Linked DNA regions of Sus scrofa. The protein of the gene in region 1 purifies or fractionates together with the protein of each later gene. This does not show direct contact. Links are inferred from orthologs where the notes say so. Each region holds a gene or a part of one and is shown on either strand. Other genes may lie near its edges. The genes, in order: VASP and PFN1.

Region 1 (4,553 bases):
AAAAAGGTTGCTGAGTTCCCTGGCGGCTTAGTGGGTTAAGGACCCAGCGCTATCATTGCTGTGGCTCTGGTTACTGCTGTGGCTTAGCTTCAATCCCTGGCCTGGAAACTTCCTCATGCTGCTGCCTGGGCCAGAAATGAAAAAAGAAAAAAAAAAGTTTGCTGACTCTAGTCCAGGTGGCCACACAGAAGTGACACCCCTTCCATTTCACAGATGGGAAAGCTGAGACCTAGAAAAGAGAAAGGACTTGCCGGCGGTCACACAGAACTGGGGTTCTCATGCAGTTGGGTACATGTGTGTTGAGCTGCTTTGCTGGGTTAGTAAGACCCAGAAAGCCATCAAGTTTGCCTCTGTCCACAAAGAACCCACAGCCTGAGGAAACACACCAAAACAACTGTATCCTACCGTAGATCGGGGTTCAAGGTCTCCCAGAGTGAAGTGGAAAAGGGAAGAGGATCACTCCATTCTTCAGAGAAGGTTTAACGACAGAGCACAGCCTAGAAATGACGTGAAGGTCAGGACGGCACCCAGGCAGCAGATTCAGCTTGGAAAAAGGCTGGGAAGGTTAACTTCCTCACCTCCTCGGCTCTGCCCTGAGCTGTTTGTTTTACACGCATACCTTGCACCCAGGCACCAGTGGAGTTTTAGGAGGCTCAGGCAAGAATGCTGAGCCCATACTTACAACCTGCCTCCAGACCTCAGTTTACCCATTTCGAAAAGTGGAACTGATGATTTCCCAGGCTCCCACACCAGCCTAGGGCATCTAACCCAGGCCAGGTGGCGCTCTACGGGAGGGGCATGACCGTGTTGGTGACGTCACGTGGGGCGGAGCCTGAGGGACCCGCTGCGGACGCCCGGGAAGGGTGTAGGGACTCAGCCCCAAGCTGGCGCGTGGGGGTGGGGGCTCGCGGGATCAGGCGCTAGGGAGAGTCCCCCCACCTCCGTGTCCTCGGATTGTTGGATGATCCCGCCATCATCCGCCGACGAAACTGAGTCACGGCGGGGAGTGCGTGGGGAGGGGGTCGTGGGCCTTATTCGCAGCGGGACCAGGAGTCCCATTCCCACTCAGGTCCTGCACCGCACCTCCCCTCCCCCCGCCCCCCCCCACACCCTGCGGCTGTGAGTCAGCGGCCAGCCGCGCCCCCTCGGCCCACTTCCTCCTCACCTTCCCTGGGCGGGCGCGGTGGGGGGGGCGGCAACGAAGGAGGTGGGGCCCCTCCTCACCCATCCCCCTCCTCGGAGGGGGGGGTGCACCCCTTAGTAGAGCTTCATAAACGGGCGGAGGAGAGAGACGTTGGGGGAGGTCCGAAGGTAGGATTTAAGGGAGAAAATTTGAATCTATGCTTAACCAGAGGGTCCTTCTCGCCCCCCACACTGAGTAGAATGTAAAGAAATGGAGAAGTCGATGGGGAGGGTGAGAAGAGATTGTGCCCCCACTGAGAGTCCCCAGAGAATTTCTATCATGAGAGAGAACTAAGGATGAAGGAAGGATCCCTTCCCCCCCAACAAGCTTGCCCCCCTAATTTGGGGGTGACTCCCCAGAGTGCATCGCTGTGCAATAACGTTGGGGAAGAGGGAAATAGCGGAAGTCTAAGGTTCCGCGTTGCCCTTTTAAGCACCCTCCACCCTCCAATCCCACAGCCTGGAGGTGTCCGCGGCCCCTTTAAGGCGCAGGGCATTGTGGGTGCGGGGAGTGGAATTTTGGAACGAAATGTAGCGAAGAGAAGTACAGTAGTAAGAGTAACATTGTAGCCGCCGCCAGCTGAGGGGGCGCGCCGGGGAGGGGACGCCGCACCCCCTTTCTGCCGCAAGGACCCCGGATCAGCTCCCCAAAGGGAGGAGGCGCCTGAGGATCCGCGCCGGCCCTGTCCACGTTCCCCCCAGGAAGCCGGACTCTATGGGGCGGGACCCTGGGGGAGACTGAGCAGAACCTGGAGCCAGCCCCGAACCCCTGAACCTCGAGCCAGGGGCGCCCCGGGAGCACCTACCCCGTGGGCGCTCCGCCCGCCAGCCGAGCAGCCATGAGGTGAGCCTCGAACTGCCTCTAGACCCTTCCCTGCCCGGCGCGGGATCCCGCCCCGCCTTTGTCCCCCTCCCCCCAGCTTGCTCCGGGCTGGAATTTAGGGACAGGGCACTGGGAGCCTCGAATTTGAGGCCGATCCCCCTTGGACGGGCTCCAAATATTGATCACTTTCCCTTGATTCCCAAGGCTCCGGGTGGTGCCGGTGAGGTTCTCCCGGGAGCCCTCAGATTTGGGGGCGCTCCGAGGACTCCCGAATTTTTAAAAGACTTTTTCGGAGGACTTCTAAGTTGTTAGGTACTCCCGGCCGGGAGGCTGGGATTTAGGCAGGGCTCAGACTCCCCCCAAATCTTAGCCGGCCCCAGGAGAGATTATGGGGGGGCCAGTTTGGAGGTCCCTGGGACCTGGAAGAGAGATTGAAACGAAGATCTTGGCTTTCGGGGTCCCTCTTTACATGGTGCCGGGAAACGTCTTCCCAAGAGGACTTTGCCCCTTAACTTCGAGGGCTCTTAACCCCCTAAATTTAGGGGTTCTCGTCCTCCTGTGGAGGAGGCTGGTGCGGACAGATCCACCGACCCAGATGCAGCCTCGAGGATCTGGTTCGGACTCCCCGCCGCTTCCCACTCACAATTTGCTTAAAACGGGCTGTGCCTAGGGCCGAGGGCGGCACCCCGGCCCCGTGCCAGAGGGGCAGCCCCTTTTCCCACCTGCGCGGGCCCTTGGGAGGGAGGGGGCGCGGCAGCTGGGGGAAGGGGGGCCTTTGTCTTCCTGACTCACCTGTCGAGACAGCTGGTGTGGGGGGCGGGCAAGGAGCGCCGTGGGCCGGCTGCTTTCCCCACCACAGCGCCTCCCCCTTCTCTCCACATCGCCCCCCCTTCCCCAGCGGTCCGGAGTTGTGCGGTTGTTGGAGGGGGCGTTGGGAAGCTTCAAGGTCATAGCCCTCTTCCCCTGGGAGCCGGGCTTCCCAAAGAGTTCTAGCTATCTTCCCAGGAATTTAATCCTGGGGACCGGGGGCCCAAGGCACCCAGGGATTTTGTCTTTCCTGGGCTTCGTTCAAAACTCCTGGGCTCACCTGAGGGCGGGGCCGGTGTTGGCTGGGGGACCCGACTAGGCCCCCCTATTCTCCCCTCCCCCTGGCCCCCCATAATCTCTCCCTTGAGCCTGACAATACTACCTCCCTTCCTCTACTCTCGCAGGGACTTCCTGCCCCAGAGCCCCCAGGTTGAGGGGGAGGCCCCGAGGACGGCTGGGGATTAACCCCCTGCTGCCCACATCCTCCCACTTCCCCCACATTCCCCGTACCCCTGCCCTCTCACATCAGGGTGGCATTGCTTTTTACGGCCATCAGAGAACCCCCATTCCCACGTTTGTTCCTTCTGCGGTAAAGGGATTGTTGGAAAATTTGGAGCAAGGGAGCACCCGCAGACCCGCACGAGACTTCCTGCCTAGCCTGCCCCTGCTCACAGCAACATCCCTTCAAGGTACGCCCCGAGGGGGCAGGTTTCGGGAGCCAGGCTCCGTTCCTTCACCTTCCTCCCCGGGGGACTCTCCTCTCCCCCAGCCCCCCAGCCCCGCCCCTTGCCTCCCCCCCCCCCCCGCCGCGTTTCCGGTCCCAGGCACCGTGGAAGGCGGATGGCGGATGTCCGAGTTAGTGCTGCCTCACTCACTGAGACCGTAAAAGGGCAGGAGCAATGTCTGGGCCTCCCGCCCCCCTCCCCCAGTCCCGGAGGCCCTCGCCCTCCCGCAAGGCCCCCGACTGCTGGCCTCGGCCAAACCTCCCACCTCCTGGGGGGTGGGCAGAAGTCGAGCCGAGGCCTGTCCCACCAGAGGGTTACTCCCACCTCGAGAGGGGTCTTCCCTGCCTGTGACCACACCCGACTTCCTGGGCCGGGCCCCTTCTCCCCCTGCCAGGATTCCAAAGGACCCATGCCCCTGTATGGGGGTGGGGGGCAGCTGGGGAAACTGAGGCTCAAAGAGAGAAAGACCTGGCCCAAGATCGCTCAGAAATTCCTAAGCACTACTGAGGAAGGGGAGGGGGCTGGGCTCCTCTGACTTCTGGCTGGTTTGGCTGGGGACAGTCTTGGGGGCAGTTGGAAGGGAGGATGTTGAGATGGAAAATTACAAGATACAGTTCTTTTTCTCTTGGTTTGACAAATATTTGTTGAGTGTCTGCTGTGTCCGGGATTCTGAGCTGGGATTCTGGGAAGGCTGGGAAGTGGGGCAGAGGTCTGAGAATCTCAGGGCAGAAGGGGCTCAAGAAAAACTTGGACCATTTTTTTCGTCTTCCAATACTTGTAATTATTATTATTATTTTAATTTATGTTTTTTTAAAAGTAAGAGACCATTTGATCAAGCATGTACTGTGTGCCAGGTACTGTACTAGGGTGCCTAGATTCAATTTGATCCTCCTAGCAGTTCTAAGAGATTGATACTATTATGACTGTCCCACCTCCCAGATGGGAAAGATTTGTAGTTTGGAAAGTTGTGTGTGCCTGGAGGTCTGGGGGGGTGGATCCCAAGGTTTATGGTTTAA
Region 2 (4,590 bases), on another chromosome or scaffold:
AGGTAGACCCTGAAGCAGATGTTTAAGCCTGGACACGACAGCAAGAAGCTTAAATTCCTAGATGTGCAGTGCCTCAACCCTAACCCCAAGCCAGAATGGAGGAGGCAGGTCATGGTGGCTGTCCTCCGTCCTGATACCCAGGCTAAAACCACACAGCACCTTGTTAGAATCTTTTTTTATTCAGAAAAAAAAAAAAAAAAAAAAAAAAAAACCCAAAAAACAAAAAAAGTTTTCCAACCACACACAGGAAAGGGTATGGGTTGGGGGAGGTGTCTGTCCATCCAGCCCTGGCCCCCAATCCACGTGGTTTTGGCAGCAATAAGGGGTGTGGGGTAATGGCCCAAAAAATAAAAATGGTGGATGTGTGTGTGTGGGAAGGAGAGGGGTGCAAAAGCAGTGGGGAGTGAAGGGGAGGGACAGACGAGGTCAGTACTGGGAACGCCGCAGGTGGGAAGCCATTTCATAACATTTCTTGTTGATCATACCACCGTGGACACCTTCTTTGCCCATCAGCAGGACTAGCGCTGGAGGAAAGAGAAAGGAGGCTAGGACCCAGGTGTCACAATCCCACTCCCGCCAGCTGTTCAGCAGCTGTCCAGCCCTGGGGGCTGTAACCCAACCTCATCTTTCCCAACCCCCCACACACAGGCAGGCTGTCAGTCACCCTGAAACAATAGGGCTTTTCAAAAGGGGAAAATCAAGCTTAAAGGCTGGAAAGGAACACAGTAAAATTTAGGGGTCAAAGGCTCGCAGACAGTTGACTCATGTGTTCAGGCTAGAAATGGCTGTGGATGAGCCTGCCACCTCCAAGTTTTAACAAAGAGCCCCAAAGACAAGAGCTCAAGTGCCGACTTAGAACTAACAGCCTACCTCCTCCAAGAAAACCAGAGAGTTTCCCAGCTAAAAAGACTCAAGGCAAGAAGGAACTTAAGAGGTAATACAGTTCAACTTCTTTCTAAGATGAGGAACTGAGACAGAACTAGAGGGACAATCCAGCGTCCCAGGCCTGATCCCTTCATACTGGGGAATCCACAAAGAAAACCCGAAAGATTAGCAGAAGGAGGTCCATTAGGGAAAGGGCAAAAAACTCAGAAACTCACTCTTGGCAGTCATGGTGACAGTGATATTGAAGGTGGGGGCTCCGCCAGTGCTCTTGGTACGAAGATCCATGGTAAATTCCCCGTCCTGCAGCAGTGAGTCCCGGATCACAGAGCATTTCTGGCCCCCAAGCGTTAGCCCATTCACGAAAAAACTTGACCGGTCTTTGCCAACCAGGACACCAACCTCAGCTGGCTGGAAGGGGAACCAAGCACCATCAAGTTAGTCAGTACCCCAAGGTTCCCACCTTCTCCAAGGACCCACCTGCCTTCCATTTCTTCAGGAAGCTAACCCCCCTGGGAGGGGTGTATGTTATGTGCTTTGTACACACCAGTGAAATTTGAGCAACTCAGGACTGTCGGAAGTTCGTGCACAAAAAGATCATGATCCTCAAACTTAGGAGAATGGTAACAGAAAGGGACGACATATTCCCCTGGAGACTTAGATGTCATTTCTTGGGAAAGCAAACCCAGGAAATAAAGGGGGCCAAAAAGGAGTGAGGAGAGTGGAGTGGAATGGACTGGAGAGCCTTTGGATGCTCAGAAGTCTCCTTCAGGAAAAGCAGAAGCGAAGAGGGGAAGGGAGGGGGCGGGCGAAGCAGGAGAAGCAACTTTGCCCTTATTTGGTCAAAGGTTCTACAGGAGTTGTTAGGGGCCCGGACGCCTGGGTCTCTAAGTAACCTTGAGTTCAGGTCCAGGTATCTGTGCTCTAAGAGGAGGAAGCAAGATGTCTGGGGGCATTCCGGGAAAGTTGAAAAACTTTTGGAGGGGGCCTGGGGCTAGACCCAGCAAGCCAGCTCTCGGGTCTTGATACCCCAGGGAAACTCTCTCCCCTCCCCCTTACACCCCAAATCCCCACATCCGGTCCCCTCCCGCCCGGAAATCCCCTTCCCCCCCTTTCGAACTTCCGCTCCCCCTCCCCACTTCCGGGCAGTGTGGACTGGGGAGGTGGTGAGGGGACAGCAGAAGTCATCCCTTACTCCTTCACTGATAATTCAGTCCTAGAACTTCTCACAAAGTTCCCCTGCTCCAGGCCCCGCCGGATGGCGGGAAGGGAGGGCGAGGGGACTTCCGGGATCGGTCTCACAGGAATGTTGAGTCTAACGTGCCGACTGCGGGGGGGCGGAGGGCGTGAGGCGGCCTAGCCCTCTCTAACGGAGCTGGGAGGGGCAGGGAGCGCAGAGGACGGGCATGGGACCTTGGCCACGCGAGCCGGGCTCCCACCGCATAAGGAGGAACAATGGTGGAGGGGGCGCGAGCAGGCGGGCGGAAGTGGAGCTCAGGGTCCAGGGGTCCCCGAGTCCCTTCTCAATCACAATCCCGGGTTGAAACTGCAGCGTGTGCCCGCCCCGCCCTGGAGGAGACGGAAGTGGGCCGCCGCACCGGGCGGCGCGCCCCTCCCCGCCCTGTGCCCCGGATGTAACGCCCCGTCTCGGAGAGCGGGGCCGGCGGGCTGGCCGGGCGCCGCCGCCCGGGACGTACGACTCGGGGGGCCCCGGGACGGACCGGCTCACGTGCAGCCACCATTCGCGCCACTTCCAGGGCCAGGAGCGACCACGGCTTTTCGCTGCGCTCTCCAGAGCGTGCCCGCCCCCACCCAAGTCCCTCCCTCAGGGTCCAAGCCCGGCCAGTTCCCCAGACCCCGCAGGCCTCGCAGTACCGTGATGTTGACGAAGGTTTTCCCGGGGACGGCGGCCCAGACGGAGGGCGAGTCCTTATAGCCCACGATGGCCGCGTCCTGACAGGTCCCGTCCGCCATGAGGTTGTCGATGTAGGCGTTCCACCCGGCCATGGCGCTGCTACTGGGGCTGCTCTCGGGGCTACTGCTGGGGCCGCGGGTTGGGCTCGGGCTGCCTCGGACTGGCGGGCGGGGGAAGGCAGAGAGCTTGGGGCACGCGCTGCCGTCCGGACCGCGGCTCTGCTAGCTGTGCAGCAGCCCTCGCACCGCCACTTCCTGCTCCTCCCCACCCCCCTAGATTTTTATTTGCAAAGGGCGGTGGGGGCGGGGCCTACTCCTCATCCCCTCCCTCCTCCTTCTCGCCTGCCCAGATACCGAACTTTGCAAATGCAATTTAAAAAATCCCTCCCCCTATTGCAAAATTTGCCGAGTTCGATGGGAACCGACGCTGAAAGGATGGGAGGCGGGGGGGTTAGAGTTGGGGCTCGCGCCAATTTGCATAGAATATTAGACTTTGGTGTAGGGAAAGAGAGTGAGCCAGAGGGAGGAAGGAAAGTGAACGGAGAAAGAACTAGCGAGCTGCAAATTTAGCAGATTAAGAGGGTTCGGGGAACTCAGGGTTAAACGGAACGACTCCCCCTTCCCCCACCTCTGCTGTGGGGTTGCGGGGGGAGGAACGGCAGGCGGCGGCAGCGCGTGCGCCCGCGCCTGCGCCGGGGCAGAGAGCGAGAGCGCGTGGGGCGGTTAGGGCCGGCCGCCGGCTTCGCGGGCGCGCGCCGGGGCGCGCCGGGCCGGGCCGAATTGGACCCCCAGCGAAGGAAGGCGGGCCGGGGACGTGTCTGCTGCTGGGCGGAAGGGGCGGGGGTGAGGCGCGCACGTTACCGCTTCTGCACTCTTGATTTTATTTATTCAAGAAATAAAGGCAGTAAAGGGAAATTTGACAAAATACCCCGACCATTTTCCAAGTTGAAGGCGCCCACCGGGGACACTTCTGTCCTCAGCATCTGCACGGCGGCATAAGTTGCACTCGCTGGAGCCCACCCGACTCCACGGGGATTATCCCTCGCGCTGGATCAGCTCCAGCCTTAGGCCTCACTCCATGACTGTGCCCCGGTCAGCAGTTTGGGTCGCCGTCCGTCCCCCTTACCCTGTCTCTGCAGAGGTCACTGAGCCTCGGCGCCCGCGGGGCGCGGCGGGCGGGCCTATTTTTCAAGGCGGAAGAATACTAGGGTTTCAACATGCAACTTTTTCAAGAAGAGGAAAGTCCCTTCTACCCTGGCCCCCTGGGCCTTTTTCCTCTTCTTTTTTCAGTAAAACTTATGCTAAGAAATTGTGTGCGAAGAGTTCGTTCGCCGCCCGCTGGGAAGCGGGTGGGGTTAGGACCCGGCTTAGGTGAACCAGCCCCGGCTGGCCGCCGGGTCCGCTGAGGGGCTTGGCCGCTTCCGGTCCCTCGGGGGAGGGGCGCCTCCCGGGCGTGAAGGGGCTTCGTACCTTCCCCGTCCCCCCCAGAGGGGTGCGGTGCTCCCGAGGCCGCTGCGAACCCTAAAGGCACCCGCCGCCCCCCGAGCCTGGTTCCTCGACAGCCGCCGTGGCTGAGTCACTGGCCGGCCCGGGCGGGGCCGCACGCGGGCACGTGGCGGCGCTCCCCGCCCGCCGTCTCCTGACCTCTGGCCTGCCGCACCCCCTACCCCAGGGTGGAAATCTCCCGAGAGGGAGCGGCCAGAGATAAGGGGGGGGTGAGATGGAAGACGGGAGTAGGGATCCTGGGGTGGGGGCTGGGAGACCGACCCCGCAGGGCAGGCGGGGTGGGGAGGA

Evidence for each region.
Region 2: the proteins of VASP (region 1) and PFN1 purify together in Homo sapiens (affinity purification with western blotting; 3 studies listed by BioGRID and IntAct, with this or other methods). This does not show direct contact. The link is inferred for Sus scrofa from reciprocal best matches to the Homo sapiens genes VASP and PFN1.

What each region holds. Positions count from the first base shown.
Region 1 is NC_010448.4:51,871,978-51,876,530, forward strand, and holds the start of VASP (vasodilator-stimulated phosphoprotein), read left to right. Parts: upstream 1-1,697; 5' UTR 1,698-2,021; coding exon of another isoform or gene 2,022-2,026; intron 2,027-2,797; exon of another isoform or gene 2,798-3,100; intron 3,101-3,407; exon of another isoform or gene 3,408-3,501; intron 3,502-4,553. UniProt on the Homo sapiens protein: Ena/VASP proteins are actin-associated proteins involved in a range of processes dependent on cytoskeleton remodeling and cell polarity such as axon guidance, lamellipodial and filopodial dynamics, platelet activation and cell migration.
Region 2 is NC_010454.4:51,961,141-51,965,730, reverse strand, and holds PFN1 (profilin-1), read right to left. Parts: upstream 3,090-4,590; 5' UTR 2,890-3,089; coding exon 2,758-2,889; intron 1,294-2,757; coding exon 1,101-1,293; intron 525-1,100; coding exon 427-524; 3' UTR 161-426; downstream 1-160. UniProt on the Homo sapiens protein: Binds to actin and affects the structure of the cytoskeleton. At high concentrations, profilin prevents the polymerization of actin, whereas it enhances it at low concentrations. By binding to PIP2, it inhibits the formation of IP3 and DG.